Linked DNA regions of Drosophila melanogaster. The protein of the gene in region 2 purifies or fractionates together with the protein of the main gene of each other region. This does not show direct contact. Each region holds a gene or a part of one and is shown on either strand. Other genes may lie near its edges.

Evidence for each region. Proteins that work in one complex are often made in the same cells at the same time.
Region 1: the proteins of CG1105 (region 2) and atl purify together in Drosophila melanogaster (affinity purification with mass spectrometry, with the first as the bait; 2 studies listed by BioGRID). This does not show direct contact.

Annotation. Positions count from the first base shown.
Region 1 is NT_033777.3:24,623,663-24,628,688, reverse strand, and holds the start of atl (atlastin), read right to left. Parts: upstream 3,019-5,026; 5' UTR 2,877-3,018; intron 1,624-2,876; exon of another isoform or gene 1,314-1,623; coding exon of another isoform or gene 27-1,313; intron 1-26. Other genes in the region: wsck, read left to right, coding at 27-1,313; Syx18 (syntaxin 18), read left to right, coding at 3,216-4,214, 4,534-4,722. UniProt on the Drosophila melanogaster protein: Membrane-anchored GTPase that mediates the GTP-dependent fusion of endoplasmic reticulum (ER) membranes, maintaining the continuous ER network. It facilitates the formation of three-way junctions where ER tubules intersect.
Region 2 is NT_033777.3:7,063,651-7,069,144, forward strand, and holds CG1105 (uncharacterized protein), read right to left. Parts: upstream 3,487-5,494; 5' UTR 3,389-3,486; coding exon 3,274-3,388; intron 2,648-3,273; coding exon 2,492-2,647; intron 2,071-2,491; coding exon 1,228-2,070; intron 1,120-1,227; coding exon 965-1,119; 3' UTR 536-964; downstream 1-535. Other genes in the region: Mst84B (Male-specific transcript 84B), read left to right, coding at 1-406; CG1965 (uncharacterized protein), read left to right, coding at 3,860-4,079, 4,138-4,439, 5,058-5,298, 5,356-5,494.

The DNA.
Region 1 (5,026 bases), about 18 Mb from region 2:
TATCTCTGTAACTATTTATATTCTAGGTGAGCACACTGGAGGGCGTTACCAAGACGATGTACAGTCGTGGAACTCACGACCAGCATGTGACATCCCTAGACGACTTTAGTTACGCCACCTTTGAGAAGGGTCAATCCTCGGTGGTTGCCCTAGCTGTCACCTGTGTGATCTTCGGCTCCTGCCTCCTGCTCAGTCTTATTGCCTACTTCTATCTGCGCTACAAGACCTGCCGCGGGCGACGATTGACTGGTGGCAATACGCACGAGATGACGCTGCAAACGCCCATAATCGAGCGGGAAAATAACGGATACCTTGTGGAGGACGATCCACTGCCACACTCGCCGGAAAACTTCAAGCAGCAGTTGCAACAGTTGGTGGAAGGATACGAACGGATACCAAGGAATGCACTACGACTAAATGTGAACGATGTGATCGGAGACGGACGCTTTGGTGAGATTATAACCGGAAAGGTTTCCACAAACGATTTTGCCAGAGATTGCACCCTGCACGTGCTCTGTCTGGACGATCTGAATGGTACTACACAGGCACAGTTGCTGAGAGAACTACGTCAGTTGTCTCAATTGAAGCGCCAGGAGCATTTGCTAGATTTCTATGGAGTATCAGCAAGTCCCGATTGGTTCTACCTAATCTTCGAGCAGCAACGCATGAGTCTAAAGAGAAAACTGGTGGAGAGTCGCCTGATGGCACCGTCGCCACGCTTGACTTCCCTCTCTGAGCAGCTAGTGCTGCAGTGGATCTACGAGCTTGCCAGTGCCATGAATTATCTATCCAGCTGCCAGGTGGTGCATCGACAGCTCTGCTCGCACAGCGTCTTCGTTACCAGCGATTTCAAGCTAAAACTGAGCGTCTTTGGACCGCTGCCCTACATGAACATTGCTCGCCAGCAGCCAGACCACAACCGGTGGCTGGCCCCGGAGGTGCTGCGCCATCAGCATCACCATTCCACCCGTTCTGATGTCTGGTCCCTGGCCTGCGTGGCGTGGGAATGCTGTGCCCTTGGCGGTACTCCCTATGCCAATGCAGTGGCAAGTAACCAACAGCTTCTAGAGGCCATTCGGGCTGCAGTGCGTCCGGCGCAGCCAGCCTACGTCTACGGGGATCTCTACCAGCTGCTGCTCAACTGCTGGCAGCTGGAGCCGAGCGAGCGGAGCAGCTGTGAGGACGTGGCCTTCGGAGTACGTCAGCTGATGACCTCACCGCGTCATGCCCTCAGCTTTGATCGAGTGGCCGGCGGACTAGACACCCTGCCTCCGTACCTGCCGCAACTGGAAGCCGTTGCTACGATGGGCTGAGGTGCAGCCGAATAGTATAATTAGCTTTAGTCAGCGAGAGACCACATTCGCATAGAGTAGATTTCGGTTCTGAGTCACTGCTGCTAAGAGAAAACATCACTTCATTTCGATTTTAGATGAGTTCACTTTCAGTGTTCTGAAGAGAAAATAATTTGTTTTAGAATTTACACATTGATTTAATAAAGCTCATAAATTGTTATTATCCATATAATATTAGAAGTGAGCATTTATGAAACACAATTCGATGTTTATTGTTAATACGCACAAACTTCCTACAAATAAAAGAGTGTTCTATGCCAGAGCTTATCAGATCTATAAGGTAGTTAATTGCTTATCTACAACCCGAAAGAAAGGAATCGACTTTCCCCCACGCGAAACAAAGTTCAAGCGAACGTGCTCGATGGAGAGCGCGATAGATAAAAGACTACTGACAGTCTGGCCCCCAAAATTGTGTAATAAATTGAGGGATCCATAGCGAATGGATCTACCAACAGACCAGCGACTGTGATTCCCCCGCCGATCGCTGATGTTGCACAAACCAGACAAAAGCGAAAACTAAAAGCAAAAAAAAAACCAAGGGAGAGAGCCGCGAATGCGAAACTTTGATCGCTGGCGAGCAGCAATTAATAATAGAAAATAAACGGCGGTGTTGCTTAAGTGTGAGTGGATCAAAATTGACGATTAATCAGTTTAAAGGTCTTGCATTGCATCTATTGTTTGTTATGTTGTTTAAGAATTAATTAGGGAAATTGTTGGCAGCAGCCTAGATGCGGTTACATGCATTATTAGTCATCCGAAATAGTAGGGCACTTTATGTATGTATATTCCATTGGTTTGGACAATCATCTTATAATGAAGCTACATAGCAAAAAAAAAAAAAAAATCTAAATCTGTGTATATTCTTCCGATATGCACTTTTCAAATGAAATGTTCAAAATTCGTTATCAGTACTTAAAATTTCTCACTATGTACAAGCTTATCTCGGGATCCTTCCCAAAGAAGATAAGCCATTGTTTCTCTTGTCGACGTGTAACTATTGGATCCACCAAAAAACCCAAAGCACATGGCTCACCCGGAATTTAGAGCGACTTTCTTATAGAGTATATGGTAAATACGGTAAATGAAGCGCAACGATATCCATAGCGACTTTTGGACGCTTACCTTGCCCGCAATTCAAGGTGAAATGACGACGAACAATTGAAGTCACTGAAATGTGTATACATTCCGAGCAAATGGGCAATTATTATTAATAAATCGAGCTGAATGGCTGCTATCGGAATTCAGGGGCTTCGACTGCCGACCATGCTCATGAATATGTGGAAGATGATGATGATGATGAGGTTCATCCGGTATTGGCCAACTTTGCGAGTGTTTTGCATTCGCCTGGTTAAATTGTTATTGTTTTTGTTACATATACACACATGGAGATTATGAGGAATCCAAGGAAACTGGTTGCTCACACACGCACACCAACGCACTGCGACGGAGCCACTCACGCACACTACCAAATGGTCGGCTAACTGCGCAAATAATGCGGCTTCTGTGTCGGCCTTTGTTACTCACTTTACTTAACCATTTACATCGGACACTGGACTTCACTGCGCTGCGATTTTTCGACACTTTGGAAGCAGAAAAGTACGTATTTTGTTTGTGCTCTGCCAATGGTGTGACCGTACACCGTTGGGCGAAAAATCACCTATAAGTGTGGGGGTGAAAATTCATTAGCCAACACTGAAATGCTTATCGATAACATTTAGCTATTTTTAGTATTAGCTAACTGGTATATATTAACGGTCATCATAAGGTCACACTGCAAACGGTTAAACGAACGGCCACATTGTGTTGGACCGATGATGTGGATTTAAAAGTTAAATATTTCAAACTTAGTTATAGCAAATAGCTATGGACATCACCCAGAGCTTCAAGGCCAGCGTAATGACGGTGCGCCTGCAGCGCAAGGCCGAGCTGGCCGGAAAGGCCAAGCCCGCCACAGTGCCGACAAAAACTGGACCAATTGGCCCAAAGGATGACTTCGCCAAGCAGGCCAAGGAGGTGTGCAACAAGATCACTTCGCTGCGCAATGTGCTGATCGAGAACCGCACCGCCTACATGCGCATTGGCCAGCACCTCAAGTCCGCCGCACACATGACCGACGCGCAGCGGGATCTGATTGATCGCGAGTCGGAGAAGTTCGTCACCTTTTACACGCAGCACCTGGCCAAGATGCGCAGCGATTGGAAGAGCGCCAAGCGGAAGCCGCAGGAGCGTCAGCACATCGACGCCGTGCTGGACCTGCTGGTCAGCTATTTGCACAGCGTGGAACAGATCTATCTGGACCAAAAGAAGTACCGTGTGCAACACGAACTGGAAACCTATAGGCTGCTCAAGCTGGCGGCGGACAAAAAGAAGATACCAGTGCGTCCGGCGGGCAGCAACAGTGGCAAGCTGGGCAGGCGCCAGGTCAGCAACGATGACAGCGAAGCCACGAAGTCATCTTCACAAGCAAATGGCAACCACGACGAGTCCGCCGACAATGACTGGAATAACGACGCCTGGGGCGACTGGGATGAAGACGAGGAAGGCGACGAGGTGGACGATCACGATGGCGAGAAGGGCAAGGAAGCCAATCAGGCCAATCAACACAAACCGCGTACGCGCAAACGAAGCAAAGCCAACAGATCGGATCTGAACAACTCATCCTCCAAGATGGCTCTGGATGAGGAGCTCCAGCAGCAGCAGGAGGCCGACGATGACGATCCCCTAAGCGCCGAGGATGTGCAGCTCTTCGAGGCGGAGAACGTACACATCTACAACTTTCTGCAGGGCGTCTCCGAGGAGGTGGAGCAGATCGAAAAGAACGTGGTAGACATTGCCCAACTGCAGGACATTTTCACCGAAAAGGTAAGATGGCATGATAACACAAGTCCCAAGGAATCCTTGCTGTTCTTAACAACGATATCTTTAGTTTAATTTTGGTGAGAACATATTGCTCCATATTGCCAAGAATACTTAGTGGGTTTAAGTGGCTGCCCATATGTTTGTCGACTTAATCCTTCAATTAAAAATATTAATTGGCTTCGCTAAAATCCACATCCTTCGCGATTACAATGGATGTATAAGCCGGGCTCTTATTAGCATGCAATTAATTATTAACTAGATCCAGATAGATCCACGTCCTAATCTCATTTAATCCTCTTAAATTTCCCTTTCCCTTTTGTAGGTCGCCATGCAACAGCACAATATCGACAGGATAGTTAGTGCCGTCGTGGGCACCACGGAAAACGTCAAGGACGCCAACGAGCAAATCCGGCAGGCCACTCAACGAAATGCAGGACTACGCGTGTGGTCGCTGTTCTTCCTGCTGGTCATGTCGTTCTCCCTGCTCTTCTTGGACTGGTACTACGATTAAGTGAAGTCCCCAAATTTATGTGTAACCCACCCAATTTAGGGAATGATAAATGCAAAAATGTTTTGTTATCGTTTGATCGCACTAAAAGCATATTTTGTTTATTACATAATTTATAAATAAAAGGAAAATATTTGTTTAGGCTATTCAACTGCCTTGTTTCAATTCAATGAAACCTCGTACAACAATATGGAACTAAAATCGATTTGAGCGCCTTGCTCACACATGTCTCAGTAGTTAATTTAAATTCTACACCAAAATGTGTTTTAGTGTGTTGCTTGGTACATTGTTTATATCTAGGTCCTTA
Region 2 (5,494 bases):
CAAGTTCAAGGAAGCAGCCCAAGTTAAGAAGAATGCTAGCAAATCTGCTCCAGTAGCTAAAACGGATGTCAAAGAGAACATCAAACAGGAGGTAAAGAAGGAGGTGAAGAAGGAGATCGCTAAAACGCCATCTCCGCCTCCTGCCCAACCACCAAAAGCTGCTAATCCATCCCCTCCACCATCTAAAGCCGCACCACCCTCACCACCGAAGCCGAAAGCCAATCCCGAAGGACTTTTTCAGATATGCAAAAAAATAGCCGAAAAGAAGCTTAGACAAAGGAAAAAGAAGATGAAGATCCTCAAGGCCAAATGCAAAAAAATAGCTCTGAAGGAACAGTGCAAGTGTGAGAAGAAAGCAAGAAAGGCCAGGGAACTGAATGAATACTGCAAGAAAAAGAAGAAGTAAATATGGAACGATAGCACCATCATTCCAAGTTCTTAAATCTCCCAATGCTCCGTATAAAACAAGTTCCTCAAGGCTCAACACATTTTTGGCTCCCAGGATTTGGCTATGCCCATGTATCAAACCTTCATTATCTTTTGTGTTTTATTACGATTATAGTCGTACATCAGTTTTAGGCACTATTGCTGGCTTAAAAAAAAACAGAAAAAATTAAATTTGAGCAGTTTAAATCGGAATTGACAATTGTGCGTATTTATACGATTATTAAATTAAACACAGATGCAGTCAAAATAATAAAGACCCAATTCTTTGTATTTACTGTCCGAAAGCTATTTAATTATAAACAGAAGTTAAGCATTTCAAAAACTTTGTATAGGTAGACCTTTTTTATTTTGACTGCACCTGTTTATGCTTTCTATTTGGACGGAAAGCTAATATTTCATAAATGCAAAGCCGATAAAAATTGCGAAAGCTAACCCTCCAGAAACAGAGACAGCCAGAAGAAAATAGTTCGACATCAAAGTTTAAGAATATCATTGTGGGTCTAGCTTAGAGATTCAATCACTGGCTAGCTGGCGGTGCTGTGGCATTATTAAACTGGAAAGTCGGATACCGAGGTGCGAAGGCTCCGTCGCCGATCATCTGCGTATGCTCGGAGTCGTCCCTACCGGCGATCGTTGGTGCCCGGTACTGTGTCTCCACAAACTGCGGTGGCGCTGCAAAATGAAAATAGAATATTTTAATAAATAAAGATATATAACCCTACTAAGAAGCTTTTATAATTTAAAAGAAAATCCACAAAACTCCATAATTTTAATACTCACGTATATTAGGATACAGTGAACCACCACCAGTACTGTCAGCCACGTTCCAGCCTAGAGCACCACCCACGCCATCGCCGCCAGGAGGGCTCGCCGGGCTCACTGGCTGTGTGGGCGCCAGCGATGGATCCTCGGACTGAACCGCCGACGGAGCATCCGTAAATTGAGTAGGTGGCCGTACGCCAGCCAATGGAATAGTGCCCAAGGTGATTGGCACCTTGCCAGTGAGATTGCGGTGCGGACCGCTCACCTCGCACTCCACATGCAGGTCGTAGTCCAAAGCGATAATCCCGCAGTTGAGGAGGTTGGTCGGTGGCAGCGCCGGAATCTCCATTTGTTGCGTAAACGTGCGAGACTCGCCGCCATTGACTGGGCCAACACTTAAGTTGGCTATGATCACCTTGGACTCGCGCTTCTCGCTCCGTGGCTGGTTTGTGTGGAAGGTGACCAGCTTACGCAGTTCAAACTTCACTGCCGTAAGATTTACGTTGCTGGTGTTGTCCACCTCGCAGGTGATGGGCAGCACCTGCCCCGAAACGAATCCTGTTTGCGGGATGTTCGTGATGACAGCCAGCGGTCCTGAGCGACAGCAAAAACAGCAGAATGACTTTTCTAGCTCGAGCTTGAATGGCTCCTTGACTCGAGGATTGAGATTTAGATCAACGGGCGCTATTACTGTGAACGCCATCTTCATGTCCTGATCGAATTTCCACGGACGATCAAGCGTCACCTTGATGGTATAGCGCACATGGCCAAATTCGCCCTCAAAGGATGAGGGTAGATTAGGCGGCAGAGCACAGGTGAATGGATAAGTGTGAGTGCCAGGCGGTAGTTCCGTCTCAGAGCCTGCAAAATCATACATTTAACTTTTAGCATTTTAAAAAGGTCACTTATAGCTTATTATGTTTTCAATTCTTACGCGCAGAGGAAGGGTCTGTCAAGGTATATTATTTAATAAAGCTAAATAAAAACATTAAATTATTGTAGTTTCAAAAGGAGAAGTTATTAATGCTATAAGGTGTATAGTAATTACAAGATTTAGTTATTATTTTATATAGAGCGAGGAAGTGCAATCCCATTTATTCGATTCATATAAGGACAAATTTAATTTTAAACAAAAATCTTCTTGGCCAATTCTTACACCATAGAATACAAAAATTTATGCTTAATAATAGACACTTTCAATAATTAAATCCTCCAATTCTTTTCAGATAAACTAAGGTCTGGCAACCGGGGAGTGAATTCCCGGTCTGTTTTTTGTACTTACTGTTTTTGCCGCCCAGCAGATAGTACTGGATCTTAAAGTACTCCTCATGCCCCTTCAGTTGGGTGACCTCGTTCTCGGTCTTGCCCTCGCTGGTGGTTACGCTCTTCTCCTCTGACCACTCGGTGTTGGCTTCTCCCAGGAACCGAATGATAATACCTACGAGAAACAAGTGGCTGTATTTACGGAATGACAATCGACGACGTCACTGTGGCGCTTTAATTTTAGCTATAAATAATATGAAAAGCTTTCTAAGGCATACTCAACGGATGACATCATCGCTACCAGGCAGCATCTGTCTCCCGTGTTTGGTGACCTCAAAATTTGATTATGGTGGAATGTTTGCCACATAGGTTACATGCCCCCGTCAAATGTACTACATATTTATTTACTTTCTTTTGTATTCATTCACACTTGGAGCTATTTATAGTTGTTATCGCCCAACTGAAAAGAGGAGAAAGTGCATTTCTTTGGAGGGTTTAACAACCGCCAGCTTTCTGAAAACAAGGTCGTTTAGGCACCGAAAGAGCAACCGACATTTGTGGGTGGTGCGCCGGCTTTTTGCGTCAGGATTTTAAGAAGTTAGCAAGGAAACTACCAACGACAGCCAGTGAACATCCTGCACATTGAAGACGAAAGTGCTATGTATATTTATTTACTAAATTTCCAATTAATCATTGACTCTTACACAGGTGTCGTCACTCCTATGAGTAATAGTAAGCAGCTGGGGTTTTAATTAGCATTCTCCAGCGCTGCCCACAATTGGGACTTGGATTCGCACTTACCTCGGACTTTTTTGGGCGAGTCGAACGTAAACTTCACCTGGCCGTTGACCGTCTGACCGGCGTAGTAGGTGTTCCACGGGTTGTCCAATTGCAATTCACAACCTTTAAGGCCCATGTTAGAGATTCTGTGACTCAAGGCACCAATAAGTTAACGACTTTTCGGTCTGTTTTGAAACGCCCTGCGGTCGCCGAATTCAGAGATTAGAGATGGCCGTTGTCGGTATCTAGGGATGAAAAGTCATCTAAGCTCTTGCCGATATTTTAATAAGACCAGTTTTATGTGTAGCTGCCCTGGGTATACAAATTAATGTATTTATCACATTTTTATTTAATTGTTACAATAGTTTCAAAATTTGTAAAGCTATTCATATTTTCAATACAGAAAAGTTTTGTAAGTGCTAGACCGAGGACCGAGAATTAACGTTCCAGCCCTGCTCGTGACTCACGTGAGCACGAGAACGACATCGAAAGATTTTCATCTCTATTACAATACGACAGCAAGAAGAAGAGATCTTGCGAAAATTCGCTTTTCTTCCGATTTTTCATTGATTAAACAAATCGCAGAGTAACAACAACATCGTGGAAAATGTCGCTTTTTCGCAAACCGAAGAAAATTCAGCGACGCGTGTTCTCCAGCAACGCTGACGAAGAGGAGGACGGCGCATCCTTGGATCCGGACGCCGAAATGGAGGCGCCACCGCCTCCCATAATTTCGGGCAAGAGGGAGAAAGAGAAGAGCCGGAAGGCCATAAAGCCGCAGGAGGACAACAGCAAGCCAAAGGCGCTGCTCAGCTTCGCAGATGATGGTGAGTGATACCGGAATATAAAAAGAGTATGGAGCCAAAATCCCCAATTCTTTTGCAGAGGATGACGGCGAGGTGTTCCAGGTGCGAAAGTCGTCGCATAGCAAGAAAGTGATGCGCATGCTGGACAAGGAACGCCGCAAGAAGAAGCGCGAGGAACGGGCGGAAAACAGCGGACATCCCGGGGGCGAAAATGGTAGTACACAGCATTTAGAGTCGTCCGGTGGCCCATCATCGGGTCCCCCGAATTCCAACTCGAATCCTGCCAATGCTGGCAGATATAAAAGTGCCAGCGATCAGAGTAAAAGTAAAAAAAGTGATAATCATATGATCCAAACCGAAATACGCACAGACGACTTTGTGGTAAGGTTATTATTATTCAATTTCTTCTACAATAATACCGTTTAACGAAATTTCAACATCAGAAATTACATTGAATTATCGTAGAACAATTAGCAGCAAAGATTAGGCTGAATGAGTTTAAATGTGTTATTAAATTAGTTGGTTTTTCTGGTCTGAAGTGCCAATTTTAAAATATTAGTAGCTTAGACGTTGATTTGCTTGGCGTTTTAACTGGTCAGTGATGGGAAGTGTCTAGGATCTGCGATCCAACTATCACTCAACATAAAATTTCCAATTATAATGCGATCTTTAAGTACTACTACTGTAACTATGACCACGAATTAGAAAATTTATCACAGAACATTCTAACTCATTCTTTCTTTGATAATAAATTGACGCATACAACTTGACCTTACCAGAAGAAAACTATTTAAATATTATGTAACATTCAAAGATATATTTTTTGAATTACCAAAAATCAAAGCCATTGCTAACGTAGTCACATAAATAGTAATTTTCCCACCATTGATAGTCGCATGTCTTCCCTTCCACAAAAGCAGCATGAATACCAATGCTTCACCCTAATCGAAGTCCTTTAGGAATCCACAATAATATAAAACTTACTTATCTTGTCCCCAGCTAGTGGTAAAGAAATCTGAGACTCCCGAGGCAATTCTGAACGGTAGAGCTGCCCTTTGCGCTGGACGGGAGGATATGAGCGATGAAGAAGACCAGCAATCCGAGGATGGTGGCCATGACAAAACGCGTCACCGTTTCTCCAAGCCAGAACATTTGAAACAGATGCTCGAAAGTGGTTCCATTCCGGATGCAGCAATGATACACGCTGCCCGAAAACGTCGGCAAAGGGCTAGAGAACAGGGTAAGATTCGACACGTTGCCACACTAGCGATGGCTTACTCTTTGTGTTATATTCCAGGTGCAGGCGACTATATACCTATTGAGGAGCCCAAGGAGCCGGCCAAGCTAAGCAACCGTCTGCCCTGCGAAGATGTTGAGGGTGATCAGTCGGATGATGAAGAACGCATGGACATGAACGATATTACGGGACGCAAAGA